Pelodiscus sinensis: one gene and its partner. The protein of the gene in region 2 interacts with the protein of the main gene of each other region in a biochemical or structural test. Links are inferred from orthologs where the notes say so. Each region holds a gene or a part of one and is shown on either strand. Other genes may lie near its edges.

The links.
Region 1: of the proteins of NEDD4L (region 2) and NDFIP2, one has a biochemical effect on the other in vitro, tested with the Homo sapiens proteins (2 studies listed by BioGRID, with this or other methods). The link is inferred for Pelodiscus sinensis from reciprocal best matches to the Homo sapiens genes NEDD4L and NDFIP2.

What each region holds. Positions count from the first base shown.
Region 1 is NC_134711.1:264,575,604-264,585,761, forward strand, and holds the start of NDFIP2 (NEDD4 family-interacting protein 2), read right to left. Parts: upstream 4,397-10,158; 5' UTR 4,196-4,396; coding exon 4,169-4,195; intron 1-4,168. UniProt on the Homo sapiens protein: Activates HECT domain-containing E3 ubiquitin-protein ligases, including ITCH, NEDD4, NEDD4L, SMURF2, WWP1 and WWP2, and consequently modulates the stability of their targets. As a result, may control many cellular processes.
Region 2 is NC_134716.1:110,160,174-110,169,910, forward strand, and holds the start of NEDD4L (E3 ubiquitin-protein ligase NEDD4-like), read right to left. Parts: upstream 4,374-9,737; 5' UTR 2,542-4,373; coding exon 1,372-2,541; intron 1-1,371. UniProt on the Homo sapiens protein: E3 ubiquitin-protein ligase that mediates the polyubiquitination of lysine and cysteine residues on target proteins and is thereby implicated in the regulation of various signaling pathways including autophagy, innate immunity or DNA repair.

The DNA of each region.
Region 1 (10,158 bases), on a different chromosome or scaffold from region 2:
TTTCTTCCTTTCGTCAGGATCCTGAAATCTACCATCTCATGATCACTGCTTCCCAGGTTGTCACCCACCTCCACTTCCCCTATTAGTTCCTCCCTGTTTGTGAGCAGAAGGTCAAGCTGCGCACGGCCCCTGATCGGATCCTTCAGCACCTGTGTCAAGAAGTTATCCCCAACATTCTCCAAAAACTTCCTGGATTGCCTGTGTACTGCCGTATAGGTTTCCCAGCAGATGTCAGGGTGATTAAAGTCCCCCACGAGAACCAGGGCCTGCGATCTGGAAGCTTCGCTCAGTTGTCCAAAGAAAGCCTCATCTACCTCATCCACCTGATTCCGTGGCCTGTAGCAAACACCAACCACAACATCAATGCTGTTGTTTGCTCCTTTAAACTTAACCCATAGACTCTCAACAGGTTTTTCTCCCTCTTTATTCTGGAGTTCAGAGCAATCGTAGTGCTCTCTTACATATAGTGCAACTCCTCCTCCTTTTCTCCCCTGCCTGTTGTTCCTGAACAGTCTATACCCTTCCATGACAGCGCTCCAGTCATGCGAGTCATCCCACCAAGTCTCTGTTATCCCAATTAAATCATATTTCTTGGTCTGGGCCAGGGCCTCCAGTTCTTCCTGTTTGTTGCCCAGGCTTGTCGCATTAGTGTACAAACACTTCAGGTAACCAGTTGATTATCCTATCTTCTCCATTCATAACATGGGTCCTCCTTTCTTGCCCCTTCCTCTCTGCATTTCTTCCCGGTATCCGACTTTCCCACTCCCCTCAGGGTTTTGGTCACCGTCCCCCGACGAACCTACTTTAAAGCCCTCCTCACTAGGTTTGCAAGCCTGCCCGCGAAGATGCTCCTTCCTCTCTTCCTTAGATGGATCCCATCTCTTCCTAACAATCCTTGCACCCGGAACAGAGTCCCATGGTCGAAGAAACCAAAGCCCTCTCTGCGACACCATCTGCGCAACCACGCATTTAAGTCCTCAATTAGACGATCCCTGCCCAGTCCTTTCCCTTCAACAGGGAGGATGGAGGAGAATACCACTTGCGCTCCAAATTCTTGGATCCTTCTTCCTAGCGCTACATAATCCGCAGTAACACGCTCAAGATCATTCTTGGCTGTATCATTAGTTCCCAGGTGGAGAAGCAGGAAGGGGTAGCGATCCGAAGGTTTGATCAGCTTGGTAAACCTCTCAGTGACATCCTGAATGCGAGCTCCCGGTAAGTAGCACGCCTCTCGAGATTCCAGGTCCGGACGGCAGAGGGATGGCTCAGTCCCTCTTGGGAGGGAGTCCTCGACCACCACCACCCGTCGTTTCCTTTTGGGCGTGGTGGCCGTGGAACCTCCATCCGTAGGACTACGCATCCCATGCCTTCCAGTAGATGGTGTTCCCTTCTGGTTTCTTCCTTGTGAGGTCCCTTCCAGAGCTTTCAGCACTTCAGAGCCTGCGGAGAGAGCTTGAAAGCGATTGCTTACCTCTATAGCATCGGGGGATTCCCGTGCTGGCCTTTTTCCCCTTCTAGAAGTTACATGCTGCCAGTTCTCTTCTTGGTCACGTACTGCCCTCTCTGGCTCTTCTGCCTGCCGTGCTTGAAGGATTAACTGCTGCTTTCTATCGAGGAAGTCTTCACCCTCTCTGATCAAGCGTAGGGTCGACACTTGGGCCTCCAGTCCTCTAATTTTTTCTTCCAAAGTGTCGACCAGCTTGCACTTGGTGTAGATGAAATCCGTTCTTTCTTCCGGGAGTAAGACAAACATGGCACACGCTGTGCAGGTAACAACCGCAGACCCATCACCAACTATCGCTGCTGTCCTGGAAAATGGATTTAAAAAGAAAGGCAAGAGAACCTCCCACCCTTCCCTCTCCCCTTCCAATCTCCCTCTCAAAACTCCCTGTTAGCAATCACTTGTTCGCAAGCTCCTTGGTCACTTGCCCACTGCCTTATAAAGCCCCTCCCCCTACCAAGGCTCAGCCAATCAGCAGAGGCTTCTAGAATTCAAACTTTAATTAGAAGCCAACAGTTTCCACCTGCCAATCACAGCACAAACTCCATCAAGGGGAGGGGGAGGGCGAGGGCAGAGGGGAGGGGGGCGAGAAGAAAGAGTCCCAGACCGCACCAGGCCCAACCTAAAATGCCAGTCCATCGCGCGCTGGGGACTGTTACCCAACCCCTTCCGCGCGTGCGGGAAGGCAGCAGGGGGTCTGGGACTGCGCCAGCTCTGGCTGCTCAGGCAACATGAGCGTCCCAAGTGGTTGGGGCTGGTGTGATCTGGGACTCCCCATTCCGAGCCTGTTTCCCCCCCCCCCCCCCCCCCAGGCAGGAAGCAGAGGAATAAAATCCCCAGCACGCCTGTTCCAGCTGCTTGGGGAGCACATGCTGCCTGAGCAGCTGGAGCCAGCATGCTGGGGATTTTATTCTCCTGCTGCCTGCCTGCAGAGGAGGGGGGAGTCCCAGACTGCAACCTCTCACGAAGCTTGCGCCTTACTCCTCCCCTCCGCGTGGCAGTAAGCGCTGCCTGAGCAGCCAGAACCGGCACAGTCCAAGACACCCAACCCCTTCCCCATGTGCAGGAAGGCAGCAGGGGAACAAAGTCCCCAGCGTGCAATGGACCGGCATTTTAGGTTCCGGTTTTAGGTGCCGGTTGTTGGGGGGGGGGGGGGGGGGGAGAGAAAGAGCAGTCCGCACACTTCAACTCTCCCCACCCCGCTGGAAGTCCGTGCTACCTCCGTTGTTCCTGGAGATAGCAACAGCACAACATTCATCTTGGGGGGTGGGGGCCGTGAGAGCCCCCCCCAAAAAGCCTCACAATCGATTAGTTGGGCCCCCTGGATTGACCAGTAGATCGCAATTGACGGGTTGGTGACCACAGCCCTATAGTAAGCACCCAAGTAAAACATGAAAGGCACAGCTACCATCAAAGGAAGAGTTAACTATCACTTTGTAAGTTTTGAACAAACAACCTTGATGCAGTCCTAAAAAATACCTAAACAAATATTTGTAATTATTTTCCATTACATAAACACAAGAAATGTTTACATTCAAACAGGTTAGGTCTTGTGCTCCAGAAAGATGAGGAAATGGACTAAAAGTATGTGTAACTGACTTGTTTTCATTATTTACTTCTGAGTTTGAAACCTTGAATATAAAATTACATTTTATTAATTTGAATTATGACTGGTCACACAAATTAACCTTTTAAAACATTATGGTCCTTTAAAAATATGATTAAAAGCCACGAAACACAAGACTATGGATAAGGGCAATAAGGTTAAAACTTCCTCTAAGTCAGTCTTGTGATTATTGCTGAGCCTCCATTTCACAACTGTAATTTATGTGCTGTTAAATATAGGTACTGTGACTAGAAAGACAACACAATTCATGACTGAAGGGTTGTCATCTGTGATTCTGGCTTTGGGAAAGGAAGTAGCCACACGGTGGGAAAGGAACATTACGCCTAGAAGTTAATGAAGGGGATTCTCTGAAAGACTGGAGAATGGGTCTCCCAAGGAGAGATTACACCCCATGTTACATCCCCAAACCAGAGAACCACAGATTACTCAGAAGAGCGTTTAAGAAAAAAAAATGCACCACCTCAGGCCAGCCCACATAGGAAGGAACTGGGGAAATTACCCCGTCACTCGTCGCTTCCCTTCCATGTTCTCAAGGTGGGTGGGGCAGACATAACAATGTCGTTAATTTGAGATTCCTTCCCCTTTGGATAAAAGCTCTGTCGACTGCAGCCGTGGGCCTGCGAGTTAACCTGCACTAGTCACCCCCCGCCCCGGCAGCCAGGGGGAGAGTGGCCGAGTCCAGCGGGGCGATGGCGAGTGCCAGCCCCTCGGCGGGCGGCCGGGGCACGGATACGGGATCAAGGTTAAGCGCTGCGGGGCCATTTCGCTGAGGCCCCCAAATGCGCGAGGCTGGCGGGAGCTGGGCACTCACCGCCCCGACCCCGGCCCAGCGACCCCTCCCCGCCTCTCCCGGCGGCGACACCGCGACCCAGGCCGGCTGCTCCGTGACAGGCTCGCTGTGCACAGTCCCCACGGCGGCGGGCCCCACGTCTCTGCACAGCCGGGAAGGCAGGCAGGCTCCGGCCGGTGGCCGCAGAGCCGCCCGGGCCGCAACGGGGGTCGCGGGCCGCGCGGCGGAAGGAGACGGACCAGTCACTCACCACTTGGTAACGGCTGGCGGGCTCCATCCCGGCCGCCCGCGGACACACACAGGCGCGGCCCAACCACCGACTCCTCCGCACCCGCTCGTTGCTCGCGATCCCTCCGCGGCTGCCGCCCTGGGTCCCTGCCGCAGCGGCCGGGCCCTACCTTCCTCCTCCGCCCACCGCCCCTCCCCCTCCGGATGCGGCCTGGGTTCCGACCCGCCTTCCGGGGGCGGGCGCCGCGCGACAGCCGCTCCCCCCGCGGCCGAGGGGCACTAAGGCGCCGCCCCCTCCCCGTGACGCACGTAATAAGAGGCGGGGGAGGGGAAGCGAGTACACGCATCACCACCGCCCGGCCCCTGCCTGCAGCTCTCCCCCCGCCCCCCAGGTGACTGGCGTGTGTCCTGCCCCCCCGCCCTGCCCCGCTGCTTGAGCCTCCCGGCACCCCGCTCTGCGCCGCAGCGCGGATACCAATCGCCGCAGCGCTTACGCGCCCTGTACTCCGCTGCCCCCGCACCCACTCCCGGCCTTTTACCTCTTATGCAGATTAGCTTGCTCTTGCACATATATATGCATTGGCTCTAAACAGGTTTCAGGCCTCACGCATAAGCAATTTACAAACAGTAACAAAACGTTCATGAAAAAAAGCGTTCATGAGTACTTAAAGGTACTCACAAATGGCTGAACCCAGTGGTACTCACACGCACATTGGTCTGCTCCAATATATTTAGCAATGAACCCTTTTTATACCTTTTAACAAACAGGTGATGCCATTGCTATCACTGACTTCAGCTAAAAACAATTTGAGACCGTTCATCCTAACTTCCAGTCTTAATCCAGATAGGATTTACAACCTTCTTATTTTTTCCTGTTTTTTGTTGCAGCCAAAGGTTTACATAGAAAATAATACTAGCCTGTGGGGTGAAAAGATCCATGACGACTCCTTTTAGGAAAGATTTGGTGTTTTTTTTTTAATTGAAAAACCAACTGCATTCACCCCTTTCAGTCAGAGGCCTTTTTATAAACTTCCTCTGATATAATTAGTTATTCTTTGACCAGAAATCCTCCAAAATTCATTTTGTGGCTTCTTGCCTATGCAAACCATATGTCCCAGTTTTTCCAGGACAATTCCCATTTTAAAACTCCTAGCCCAGTGTCTCTCTACAACAGTGAAATCTGGAAATCAGTGCATGGGAAAGAAAGCCCCCAAGTTCCCTGCTAGATGCAGCTTGTGCATGCTGCCATTTCCTTTACTCCACCCCCTAGACAGCTTCCCAGCACTCCCTGGAGGCTTTTCCCTTTGTTCCCATGGGTCAGAATCTAGCCCATGGCATGGGAGCAAAGGGGAAAGCTTCTGGGGGGAGGGAGAGCACTGTGCAGAATCTGGCCAATAGGAGCTTCCTCTGCACAGCTCTTCCCTCCCTTCCCAAGAGATGGGGCAACGTAAATGCAGGGACATGCTGGCTACATCTACACTGGCCCCTTTTCCGGAAGGGGCATGTAAATTTCAGCAGTCGTCGTAGGGAAATCCGCGGGGGATTTAAATATCCCCCGCGGCATTTAAATAAAAATGTCCGCCGCTTTTTTCCGGCTTTTAAAAAAGCCGGAAAAGAGCGTCTAGACTGGCCCCGATCCTCCGGAAAAAGTGCCCTTTTCCGGAGGCTCTTATTCTTACTTAAGGGCACTTTTTCCGGAGGATCGGGGCCTGTCTAGACGCTCTTTTCCGGCTTTTTTAAAAGACAGAAAAAAGCGGCGGACATTTTTATTTAAATGCCGCGGGGGATATTTAAATCCCCCGCGGATTTCCCTACGACGACTGCTGAAATTTACATGCCCCTTCCGGAAAAGGGGCCAGTGTAGACGTAGCCGCTGTGCTCAGGCCTGGTGCTACCCAACTCCCAGCTCTGCTCCTGCAGAGGCTCAGTATGAATAGCCGAGAAGCATTGCGTGGGGTGGGGTGTTTTCCCAAAGCAAAGGGGCACGAACTAACCTGCCTTCATCCCCAGGACTTTGCTGCACATGAAACCTGTCTCAGGGAGTGGCAGAAACCCTCACCTGAGACAATTCCTGTGTGAACCATTCACACAGGAACCAGGAGCAAAGCCTCACAGCAGGGGCAGTCACTAGGAGTGTCCATACGGGACAGACTGAGCACAATGTTAGTTGCCTTTGAGTCTGGGGGGCTCTGGGTCGGGGCTGCTGAGGAGCAAGGCTGGGAAGTGGTGTCGCAGAGGAAGTTGGAGGGCGGGAACCTCAGAACTTCCTGCTTCTGCCTTCCAAAGCTTTGTTTTGCCTGGCAGAGAATCCTGGCCCTGGCAGGGGGAGGTGCCAAAGGCCCCCACCGCTGCTCCGATGGCCTGAATCTAAGTGTCCCGAGCACAGAGCCTCGCGATCTCCTGGCCCCCTGCTAGAATTGCAGCACTCAGAGCGAACAGCTGGGGGCTTGGCAAAGCCGCCCTGAGGGTCACACCTGTCTGTACCAGTGACCAGTGCCTGCCTTGGAAGAAGGCAGAGATTTTAGAAACACTGCTGTAGATCTAGGGGGGCAGGGGAGAGGGGGACCACTTTAAAGCTAAAGTTATTTTGCCTTAAAACTAATGAATCCTTACGTTCCTTTCTCAATTATCACAAAATGTTTCTTTATAATGGAAGAAAAGGCTGCATATCTTCCTATACTGAAATCTACTCATTTTAAAAGATAGCACAGAACAGATACATAAGGGCTGTGTCTAGACTGGCCAGTTTTTCCGGAAAATCAGTCACTTTTCCGGAAAAACTTGCCAGCTGTCTACACTGGCTGCTTGAATTTCCACAAAAGCACTGACTTCCTACTGTAAGAAATCAGTGCTTTTTGCGGAAATACTATGCTGCTCCCGTTCGGGCAAAAGTCCTGCGCAAAAAGGCCAGTGTAGACAGCTGAGATTTGTTTTCTGCAAAAAAGCCCCGATCGCGAAAATGGCAATCGGGGCTTTTTTGCGGAAAAGCGCATCTAGATTGGCCACGGACGCTTTTCCGCAAAAAGTGCTTTTGCGGAAAAGCATCCGTGCCAATATAGACGCGCTTTTCCGGAAATGCTTTTAACGGAAAACTTCCGTTAAAAGCATTTCCGGAAAATCATGCCAGTGTAGACGTAGCCAAGCACTTTAGTTAAAATTAAATGATCTAAAAAGTTGCATTTGTGCAAGGCCAGGGGGAAAGCTTGCTCATTACAGCTGCCAAGCAAAAACCACCTGTTCTGGTCACAGACCTATGATGAGATTTTAAATATGAGCAACTTACATATAACAAATCTCAAAACAGGCTGAACCTAAAACAGTATTGTTTAAAACTAATTGAGTTTAAATGTGCACAATTTTTGACAAACACTGTAAACTTAAGTAACTACTATCTATCCATTGGGAGTGATGAAGCAAAATAATTTCAAAAAGCTTTTGCCAGTCTTCCCTTAAAGCCTGTAAAGGCCAGATCTGCAATGAGCTCTCCATTCTCATTAACTTCAGAGTTCACTGGGTCTTAAGTAAATGGATCTTGAATGTGTTTTGCATTTTAATTATTCTAACACACAACAAGGGAAACTAGGAGATTAAAAAATGAATTTCTTCACCATGTGCCATTTCAGCCACTGTCATCCAATCAGTCCTCTACAGAAATATTCTTGCATTTGGACAATACATCTGTCTTGATGACTCCTGTGGGGGTCTGAAATGTGCAGCACTGATAGTTAGGAAAAATACTTTTCAACTTTGTAAATTGAGTCCATTTGAAATCACAGCCAAAATGTACAGGCAACCCCTGCACGCATGACCTAATTGGTTCCTGGAGAACTGACGTAAGTTGAAACCTTTTTTCCCATAGATGCAATGATAAAAATGGGGGTTCTGTTACTGGCCCGCTTTGTTTGCTGGGAGTTGTAGTCCGCAGCGCGAGGTGCTCCCAGAGCTGGCTGGGGGCTGTGCCGGGGGAGGGCAGCAGTCAAAGCAAGGCGGTCATAAATGTGGGGAGTCGTATGTTGGGCAGTCGTAAGTCAGGGCTCGCCTGTATATGAAACAATACAATTTCAATTGAATGATTAGTAGGCAGTGGTGCATCAGCAGTGATGAAAAGGCGGAGGGGAAAAGCTTGTCATAAGACGATGTAAGTGGGTGTCCTTCCTGCCCAGCCCCAAGTGCTCCAGAGTGTCATGAGCTCAGCCTCCACCCCACCTCCTCATTGCTCAGCTCCTGCCTATGGCCACTTGCCAGAAGCCACTGCCAAGTCAGGGGAGTGAGCTGGGCTTTCTGCTCCAAGCTGCTGGCACCAGCCCAGTTCATGGGGCACAGAGATCCCCCCCCCCCCCGCAGCCAAGAGCCAGCACCAGCTCCCCATGATAGCCCTTGTCCCAGTGCACAGGGCCACACCGAGTCCCCTCAGGCCCTGTTGTGCCACTAGAGCCTCCTCACACATCCTGTCCCTGTGCACAACACTACCACATACATGTATCTTGCCCATACTGCCACTTCCACACACCACTATACACAGCTCCTCTCTAGTCACAGCACCAGCAGCACATCCACCACCCCACACACCATGCCCCTACACACTTCACCACTTCCACACACCCTCTCCAGATACACAGTGCCACCAACATGTATACACATGCACTGCCCACAGGCACAGCACTGTCATACACACCCTGCCCCTACACACACCACACCACATCACCTCCCCACAGCACACCAGCACCTCCTATGAGGCCCAAACCCATCCCAATTGGTAGAGGGGTGGTGAGAGGAGTTCTTGAGAGGTCTCATGACACCTTTTGCTTCTGGTCATGTGTCCATCTTGACCCCAGCTGTACTACCCCCAGGGGCGGGACTGCCTCAGGCAGGCAGGCAGGGCCTTAAAGGTCAGGTGGCGTGACTAATGTTTGATTCATGGTAGGGCCCTTATATCAAGTGTTCCCATTTTTGGTTCAGAAAATATGCTCACCATGATTATCACTTGTATTCTAGCCCTTTCTCGTACTTGTTAGTAAAAGAGCCTTTTTTGACATCATGCATATATTTCCTTAACCAAACTTAAACTACCTTCTTATCTGGGCTGGAAGATACCTGATTTTAAACTTGGCGGGTCACTCATTATCAACCATCTACAACCTATCCTGGCAAATGACCCCTCACTCTCACATGCCTTGGGAGACCGGCCAATCCTCACCTACAGACAACCCCCTAACCTCAAACAAATTCTTTCCAGCAACCACACAGCACACCTCCATCATATTCATCCAGTAACCCATCCCTGTAATCAATTCCAGAGCCAACTCTGTCCACACATCTATAAAAAAGTGACATTACAGGACCTAACCACATAAATCACCACATCAAAGGCTCATATAACTGCACATCCACCAGTGTGATATATGCCATCAATGCCCCTGTGCCATGTACCATATACTGGCCAAACTGGACAGTCTCTACAATGAAGGATTAATGAACACAAATCAGATATTCATAAAAGTAACACACAGAAACCTATTGCAGAACATTTTAACATACCCAGGCACTCATTAATGGATCTCAAAGTTTCCATATTATTACAAGCCAATTTCAAAAACAAGCTTGAAAGGGAAGCAGCAGAGCTTAATTTCATTTGCAAGTTTGATACCTACAATAGAGCTTTAAACAAAGACCTTAACTGGATTACCCCCTACATTCTACATCCTAATGACATAAAAAGCCAAATGATGGGTATTTAGAACCCACTCTTATTAACTTCATTTAGGGTGGACACTCTGACTATTCTTTTCCCGTTTTTTTCCTCCTTTCCTTTCCCTCACCATCCCCTCTCTTGGTGCATCTACACAGCAGCGTTTTTCCGGAAAAACGGCTGTTTTTCCAGGAAAATAATACTTGCATCCACACTGCCATTGAGTTCTTTTGACAGAAAGTCAAAAGAACGGAGGGATTTTTCCGACAGAGGTAAACCTCATTCTATGAGGAAGAAGCCTTTTTCCAAAAAAACATTTTCGG
Region 2 (9,737 bases):
GGAAAATCTGTTTCCAGATAAAAAGTTTACACTTCAGGCAAAACACTAATGTAAACAAGATAGAAACATCTGGAAAAAAAAGAGAAGCCACAAAAATGTTTGTGTGAAAGAACAAAACTTTTAACATACTGCTGAGTGTGACAGTGAAACCCAAACAAAAGACTAACTAGAGATGTTTTCAGCAGGAATACTATGAATGTAAAATATCCACAGGCTGCTAACAAAAATATATTGAAACATATATATGGAAAAGGTATGATGATATGGTGGATAGCAGTAAAGTAAAAGGTTTTCTCCAGAGGCCGTGAAGGCTAGCAGTTCATGTTCTTGTGTTAAGTGCTAAGAAAGTTAGTTATCTTGGAATAACGTTCATACTGTTAGTTTTTGCTATGAAAGCTGCAGAGTCATCATATGGTCTTGCTGTAGTTAGCAGCTGTCTTTCTGTACTACATTTCACTGAAAGAGAGCACGAGAGAATGAGAATACACACAAGCAATAAAGGCTAAAAGCTGATCCTGTGAGTCTGTTTTCACAGCTGGAGATAGGGTGCTTACTATTCTATATACAGCATCACTGAGCTTAGAAACTCAAGTGGGCAGTGTTAAATTGCACTGCAAAGCAATTCAAGCAAATGACTCTGCATGCCCCCATAAATTTTACCCATGCATGAGCCTATAAAGTCTGTATCAAAAACATCACAGAACTTCATCTCTCTCATATAACAGAAGAAATAGGCTTTATAAGATTTTACATCATATTTCATATCAAAGCTATATTACAGGATATTGTAATAAATTATGCCTGAACTTCATTTACAGTAATTTGATCATATTCCATATGACACTAAAAAGGCAATGTGAAAAGTTCTTAGTTTTGAAGACATTCAAGAGCACAAGTGTTCTTTGAAATGAAACAATTCTCACCACTTTGTTCTTTACTATTTTCTGTCCCCACAAAGTCCTGAACTAGGATAATTTGCTTTTAAATATATTTTAAAATATGAAAAGTTAGTGTCAAAAATGTAATCTCTGTACAGTAAAGATTTTGCTTTTATTTCTTTATCAGTTTGCTAAGAGTGACACTTAGGCTTTCCAATTTTTAAAAACGCTTTAGCTGACGTAACTTTGAGTTAAGCAACATGTGATACATTACAACTCCAAGAAAACATTGAGCTGAATGTAATCATAACTGGAAGCAAAACTATTTTAGGTTACAGTTAGGGATGCTTTACAGATTGTTCCAGAGAAACGTAGATCTCACCAGTATTAATGAGTGAAATTCTTCAGTGACCTAAAATTGGAAAAAGTTTTCTGTGTGGCCATTTATATTTTATTAGAACACAAAGGGAAGTATTTTCAGCATGTTACTTACCGTGGCACTGGCGGCTGTAGGCCCAGGGATATCAGGGCTCTCTTCATCAGTCATTTGATTTTGTTCTTCAGTACCACGGGTTACAAGAATTCTGAAGTGTTGCTGCCTTGTGTTTTGATCTGGTCTGATTTTAAACAAGCATCCCTGCCCTTGAGGAATCCTTTCTACTGAATTACTTCTAGATATTTCTGACCCATTTCTGCTATTTCCATGCAGTTCTGAATTCATTCTGTCTTCTACTGGGCTAATTCGTTCTGGTCGTGGCTGTACAGGGTAGGAAGTACTCCTTTCCAGCCGTATACGAGGATATCTGACCAATCTATTCCCTTTTGTTCCAGTAAAACCAAAATTATAGTCACTTCCTGTACCTGTACCACTTGCCTGCGATTGCTGCAACTGGAAAACAAATAACTTTTTCCCTGAATTTGCTGACACATCTGGCAGGTGCTGCAAGGACCAGCGCCTGGGTTCAGAGGCTGGGGAGTTATTCTGATCCTCAGAACCAAAGGGCAATAGCGTAACCTGACGCATGTCTGTGCATGAAGCGCGATGTTGAATTCTTACGCCACTTAGATTTAACCCTGAAGCTGCTTCGCTTGCTTCGTCTTCTAGGGCAGTCGTTGCCCCATCATTCCAGTTATTGGAAGGAACTGTACAAAATATTCTGTGGTTACAGGAAACAGCTCCATTAAGCTGTTCCTGAATCTCTTCAGGCATCCTGGGTGGAGAATTCTCTGGGGTTCCTTGTGGACTGCTTGGAGAAGAAGAAGGGCTGTCAACTGGGCATGTGTAATGCTCCCTGGAGTCTGTGAATTTACATGGCAGCATCTCCTCAGGAGACTCTGGGGCTCCGCACTCATCAGCACAGCCGTTCACAGCTTTGCGCTGAAGAGAGATCTGCATAGAGGAGCTCCTTGTTGGACGCACATCAATATTGTTCAGAAGCTGAGGAATAAACATGGATGTACTTCTTTTCAAGGAGCCCACTCCTTGCAAATCACCGCCACCATAATCCGCTCCATGTCGGGAGAAAGGATGGGGACTGTTTCTTCTTGGCAAAGTGTGGAATGCCATGAAAAAGTCATCTTCTCTCTCTCGGTCTAGGATCTCAGATTCAGGGGCTGTGTTGCTTCGTCCAGAGCCAAAATGAAACCGCAGCCGATGGGCCATGGTTTAACAGAGAGAAGAAAGAGAGGGAGAACAGCAACAATTCAGGCACTGCCAGAAGTTAGAAAACAAAGACAAACTCCAAGAAAAAGTGTCCCATCTGCCAAACTGTTAGTACTGCAGCACTGATAGCGACAGATAGCAGAAATAGCCCAAGTGGCAAGCAGCATTCCAGGCATGATTGGATAAGAGCAATCAGCACTCCTACACACAGTGACATAGGGTAGGATGGTTGAAATCACATGACTTGGTTCCCCCTCTCCACTGCAAGCTAGTTTTTTTTTTTTTTTTTAAATACCAGTAAGAGCCTGAAACAGCACCTTCACAGCTGCTCCTTTTCCATCAGAAAAGAGCTGCCCCCGCGGGAGAGCTCTCACAGCTGACTAAGGCAGCAAGCACACTCGGCACTGCTATAAATCTCAGCCACATCACATTCACAGGGCACTTTCGTACAAAAACTTCACTGCAACAAAAGCACTTTAAGTGTTGATAGTTCAAGTCAGCTTCACAAATGCAGATTGAGAAGAAGTGAGCTGGCTTGAGATGACAGATTCAGGCTTCCTCTGTTTTGATGCTTCAACATTAGGCTACCATGGTAGAACACAAATAAATATTAGTCCCTGGTTATGCTCTAGGGTTTTTTTTCTGGTTCTTTAAAAGATTAAGTAACAAATTATTCACTACAGAAAAATCCATAACTTTTACCTTATCACTATAAATGCAGCATAACCTATTTATACTGCATACAGAAATTTGAACAAAGAATTCTTACATATGCCAACTATTTCTCACACAATGACAGCAACAGAAATGAACAAGATGGCAAGAGACAGGATGGTTGTTTTTTTCCCCCAGTTTTATCAGGAAGCAAAGACGAACGAAAACTGAAGAAGGGTGTGCATATCATTTTGGAATTATTTTACTTAAGTGCCATACAGAAATGCTGCCCAGTGTTGGCAGCCTTCCAATGAGAGAGTCTGCAATATTACCACAAGTCTGATTGCCAGCACGGAGGATAGCTATGCTTGCAAAGAGCCAAAAGAGCTTAAAAGAAGAACATATGGGATACAACCAAAAATTTAAATAAACATCCCGATTCAGCCCTGCCACAATGCAGAATCTCAACCTTTAAAAAGGGGTTGTCATAACTGAGGTGCACTGAAGTTCTAGAAGATTTTTGCATGAATCAGAAACAAAATCTGTTTAAACAAAAAGTTTATCTACAGAAGAGACACAATTGAAATAACCTCAATTAAAAGAGTGGCAACTTGGCTCCTATGAACGGTTAAAAAAACCCCAGTTTTTTCAACAGTTCTACCCTTGTACGTGTTGGGTCAATACTACTGCTAGATACCTAAAACCACTGTTTTACAATAGCTTGTTTTCAAATACAAAAAACAACCAAGTACAAGAGAAATAAAAGCTGATTTAAACAATAAAACTGCCAAGGGCCAGTACAATCCTCTATTGTTTTAACTGGACTATGAGCCAACGACAAGAAAAACATGGGTATTTGCTACAGTAACAGCACTGTAGATTGCTTCATGCAAGCACAGGTGTTAGTATTATTTTAATACACTTTTCAAAAAACAGCATGGTTCTGGGCTATTTAAATAAACAAGTACCCTTTTTTACTAAATACGCAACTTGCAACCACAGTCTAGTCTAGTGTGACAAACCTACTGCAATCTAACAACTCACTGATGGTTTAGGAACAAGATGAACTCGTAAGAAATTATTCTGGGGGCAAATCTTAGTAATTGTAAGCTTACATTTGTATTTATGCTTGGAATTAAAAAAAAGACACACAAATTAACTGTTTTGGCCCCTAAAAATATAGTCATGCTACAGAAAATAGTCTTAGAGTACTCAGTTCAATACTCCCTCAATCTACACGTTAGTATGAGATATAAAGGCAATTACCACTTCTCAGATGTCATTGTGTGGTAATGGTTGAAAAATGTCTTTTTAACAACCACCACTGTATTGTCACATACTAGCTTGCTTGTGCACACTACTACCCTCTGCTGGTTCACATATAACTTATTCAAATTTTTTGACGTCCCACTCTGCCAGCTGGCCTGAAAAGAGGAAAAGAAACTTAAAACTAGAAAGAGTTATTCAAGATTCCCTACAAGTGGAGGCCTGTAATTCTGAAATAGAATAATAAATCCATATGAAGGCACTGAAATGATCAGTGTGCTTAGAGGCATTTAATGGGGGTTGAAATGGAATAATCTATTTCCTCACATCATTAGATGAGAGAACCTCTATATTCTCCCCCCTGAAAAAAGGTTACCTAAAAAAGTTTCTATCTTTTTCCTTGCATTACATAAATATTTGCTTTGATGGAACTGAAAGAAAAGAAAGTTGACAAAAAGATAGTCAATCTATCATATATATATATGGCATATTTTGTCCCAGTATATTAAGCAAGTTTGGTAGACACATACTGCACTTTATATAATCTAAAAGAATCAAATATTTTGTGATATAGCACCACATCTTGTTATAATACTGTTAATAAATATAGTGCTAGTGGGTCACTATTCCATTAATACTGCTTTTAAAAACTTTCTTCAAACTACTTTCATAAATTACAATTACATTGATGCCTTACATCAACTATACCTAAAATCAAACCATATTTTTGCCTAGCCATCTAGTTAACCGTACAAAAATAACAAATAAAGCAGTAATTACAGTATCCCTTCCCTAAATATCTCAGCTGCATAATTTTGTTTCAAGAGGAGTGCTATAAATATTCAGCTTGTAAAATACCTACGTTTCCTGCTTTATATACCTCACTTTACCTTACTTATTTTACATATTTAAACCACTGAAACAAAAAATACGTTTTATTTAAGGTATACCAATTTTCCAAAAACTAAGATTCAGGAGCTATGTTACTTCCAAGTTTAGTTGAGTGATTAGTAAAATACACACAACTGGGACTAGAGTAGTACACTCACCAATCTGTTTTCATCAAACACTTCAAACAGGAGTCTATGATTAGTTGGGTTTACCTATAAAAAAAAAAAAAGTGTTACTTCATGCTCATTTCCTTCACAACATAAACCATTGATGGGTACAGTAGTTTGCTAAATGCGGGTTGACAGGCCTTGAATATAACTTAACTTTACCTACTGTGTAAATACCCATTTAAAATTCTAAATCTATAACTAGAAATATTCTGGTTTTCAATACTATGTTTTTACTTAGTTATTAATAGAGCACCTCTTATTCTACATCCCTGTTCCTTGAGAAAGCTCCCAACAGAAAGATGTTTTATGGAGGTCACTCACCAAGAGACCCAACCTGACAGAATCAGAATCTGTGGTTGATGGCTCTTGGTGAGTAGCATGTGAATGTTAAACTAGTTAATCAGAGGGGGCTGGAGCAGCTTCCTGCCTGCCACAGACAGGGAGTTGCTCTAGCCCCACAATGGCAAGCCCACAGCAGACAGGGGCTGCCTCTGTCCACAGCAGGTAGCCTTCACCCAGGGGCTGCTCCAGCCTGACATGTGATTTCCAGAGGAGCCTGCAGTGGGGAGGGTGAGGTGAGGGCTGCTCCAACCCAGCAGCAGGCATGGTGGGCACTCCAGCTAGACAGGAGCTGCCCTGCCACCCCCTCTTAATTTGGTTAACCAGTTAAACAATATGTTTAACCAGGTTAACCAATTAAATAGGATTTTACATCTCTACTGGTGACCAAGGTGTCAGACTGCTGGGTTATAGGGTCTTTCTTGGTATTGAAATTTCAGAGCTGAAGTGTGATACAGGAACTAGAATTTTTAAAAGAATAGTCTCCTTTTTATTGATTCTAAACATACTACTTAGAATTATGCAGCACCTCTATTTTTCACCCTCTGCCTACACCCAGTCTGCCACTGTTCCTACCCATTTTACAAATGACACTTGAGAAACACTGTGGATGAGATGAGAAATCATACTGAGAAATGAGTACACCTTCAGGATATTGTTTCCACAGACAGATGCTGAATTACATGAATCCCCTCAAAACAATGAATGTCAAGGAGGCAACAAGGCCACCATCGAATAAAGGCAGGTTTCTATGGTAGTTAATCCAGGTTCGTATACTTTTCAGGAAAGTGTAAGACAGGTGGCTAAGCCCAGTCCTCTATTTGAGGCAACACAGAGAATATATTCCTTAATAGGCAGACACTTATGTGGGTTTATTGACAGAGGGAAATCCCAAACTGAACTAGCACAAAGAGTGTGATCCCTCCAGTAGAGGAGTACACACAAGTACTAGTATGTGTCTTTCTGGGTAGGATTTTCATGAGTTTTTATAGCACTGCAGGGTTCCGTTTACATGTTCTAAGTAACAAGAGTTCTCATGGTCTGACTATGTCTTCATTCCAGGAAGAAGTATAAGGCGACCATGAAAAATATCAACAGATTCCATGAATACGGTAAATGTGTAGCACATATCCAATTTGCTGCAAATCCTGAATGCACACCAAAAGAAGAGCACTCAATTGCATGAGCTGTGCCTTCCAAACTGCTCTGCAACTCAACACTGTATAAAAATGGAGTTTTCCACCTGTCCAGTGTGGAATCAGTTCTGAGTTATTGCTGAATAATATCTGAAACAGCAGAGAGCCAAAAGCACTTATTTTGCTGGGGATAGCACGTAGCTGCACAAAGGTTTAAATTGACTAAAGGAAAGCATGCTGGTGTTTATAGACATTAATGAGCTGGAACTGCTAGAAAGGTATGAAGGTTATTTAAGGGCAGGTCTACACTAGAAGTGTTGCACTGATGCAGCTGTAGGGCATCCAATGAAGAAACTATGCTGCTGGGAGAGTGCTCTCTGGTTAGCATAAATATTCCCCCCCTGTGAGAGGTGGAAGCTATGTCAGTGGGAGAACATCTCCCACTGACACAGTGCCAGCAGCAACACTTGGACAGTGCTTAGGTGACTTAAACTTACATCACACACAGGGCGGGATCTTTTTAATACCCCGAGTGGCACAGGTTAAATTGACGTAAGTGGTAGCATAGACCGGCTGTAAAGCTTTGCCTATATTGACACAAAGTTGTTGTCTTATTGGCGGTGAGTTAACTAAGACGTGATAGGTGTCTGATTGCAAAACTCTACGTGGAGTCTAGGCAATTATAGTTTGCACACGGAGGCAAAGTAGATGAGGTCAACAATCTCCTCTTCCTCACTACCCTGCGACTGACCTCACCTAGTTTATCTTGTGTTGAAAACTTCAGTGCTGTCCCTCCAAGGGATTGCATGCAGTAAATACATAGCAGAGACAAGACACCACAAGGTAAATTAGGTCAGGTCAAGTCACAGGGCTGTGAAGGGGAGAATAGTATTGACTTTACCTTTACCTTGTGGTAGAAACCACTTTTTTAAAAAAAAAAATCAGTGAAAACAGAGCCGAAAATGTCTTCTTCCCCTCCAGAGTTAAGGTTGTTTGGGTGCCCTGATATTTGGATTCCTTTGAAGTTAATTTTTAAACACAGTATTTCCTAGGCGTTGGGTGTTTGGTAACTAGAACCATTTGGTAAGTTACTGATGTGTACTCAACATTACATTTAGCAAAGTAGGTTAACTGGGAATAAATACTAACCATACAACTGGTAACATGTGGTTCTAACAATGCCCAAACATTTTAGTGTGCCGCTTGTTTCTAAGACTTTTTTTCTGGAATCTTTAACAGGGTATCCTAAGAATCACTAACCATCTACATAAGAATGCCAAGCTTAATGTGTTTACATGTAACATGACCAGATGAATGTTCTACCAATGAAAAGCTTGCACACATTGCATCTTGTTGTGACTGAAATGGAAAAAGCTGGGGCCCGTCATACTGAGTTTAGTGCCAAGACAATTCCTAGTGATAGAAATGTAGCCGTGTTAGTCTGGTGTAGCTGAAACAAAATACAGAACTATGTAGCACTTTAAAGACTAACAAGATGGTTTATTAGATGATGAGCTTTCGTGGGCCAGACCCACTTCCTCAGATCAAATAGTGGAAGAAAATAGTCACAACCATATATACCAAAGGATACAATTAAAAAAATGAACACATATGAAAAGGACAAATCAAATTTCAGAACAGGAGGGGGATGCGGGGGGTAAAGGGAGGAAGGTAAATGTCTGTGAGCTAATGGTATTAAGAGGTGATAATTGGGGAAGCTATCTTTGTAATGGGTAAGATAGTTAGCGTCTTTGTTGAGACCGACGCGTAGAGTGTGGAATTTCAGCATGAATGACAGTTCAGAGGATTCCCTTTCAAGTGCAGTTTAAAAAGGCTTCTGCAGCAGGATGCAGGTAATTAAGTCATTGAGACAGTGTCCTTTCTGGTTGAAATGGCAAGAAACTGTTTTTTCTTTGTGATCCTGTCTAATATCTGTTTTGTGGGCATTGATCCTTGGGCGAAGTGTCTGAGACGTTTGTCCAATGTACAAAGCAGACGGACACTTTCGGCACATGATAGCATAAATTATATTTCTGGATGCCTAGAGATTCTGCAGTACTCAAAAGAAGTTCCTTGTGTATTATATTAGAGGACTCAAAATAGGTACCTCTGGACAGACTATTTTAGGGAGAAAAATCTACTAGATTTCACGGTGTAAAAAGCTATTTCAGTGGAATTGAGATTTTAAAGTATTTACAATCTCCCCAAATTAAATAAACAAATATTCTGTTGTAAATTACCAAATCAGCATAATAGACTACATCTAAAATGAATTTTGAATGGATACGACCATTTTAACAATATTCACTGCCCATCCCTGTTCTGAAACAGCTGTTCTAAAGAATACATTTAAACTGTTGAAATTTTACCTAATCTATTCCAATAAAAACTACATTTGGACAGAAGATAAGTAACTCCTCCTTGAAAACTCTTTATGATCCCAGAACATCAGAGATGTTTTCTACCTTCACTATTTATATTCCATTAAATTTAATTTGGGGTATTTTGAGACCACTTCACATTTTGCAAATATCTGAAGTTTTTATGATAAGAATGTGAACTACAGTTAATAACTGAAAAGCACTAGATTAAGTATAGTTCTATAACAATTTTGACATGATTTTACAAAACTTAAAAAAGTTACAAGAGGAAAATAAATGTGATATTCTCTCCACTTTCATGCTACTTGCCAAAAAATGCTCTTTCAATCCTCCTCTTCTGTGTTTGCAATTCACTCACT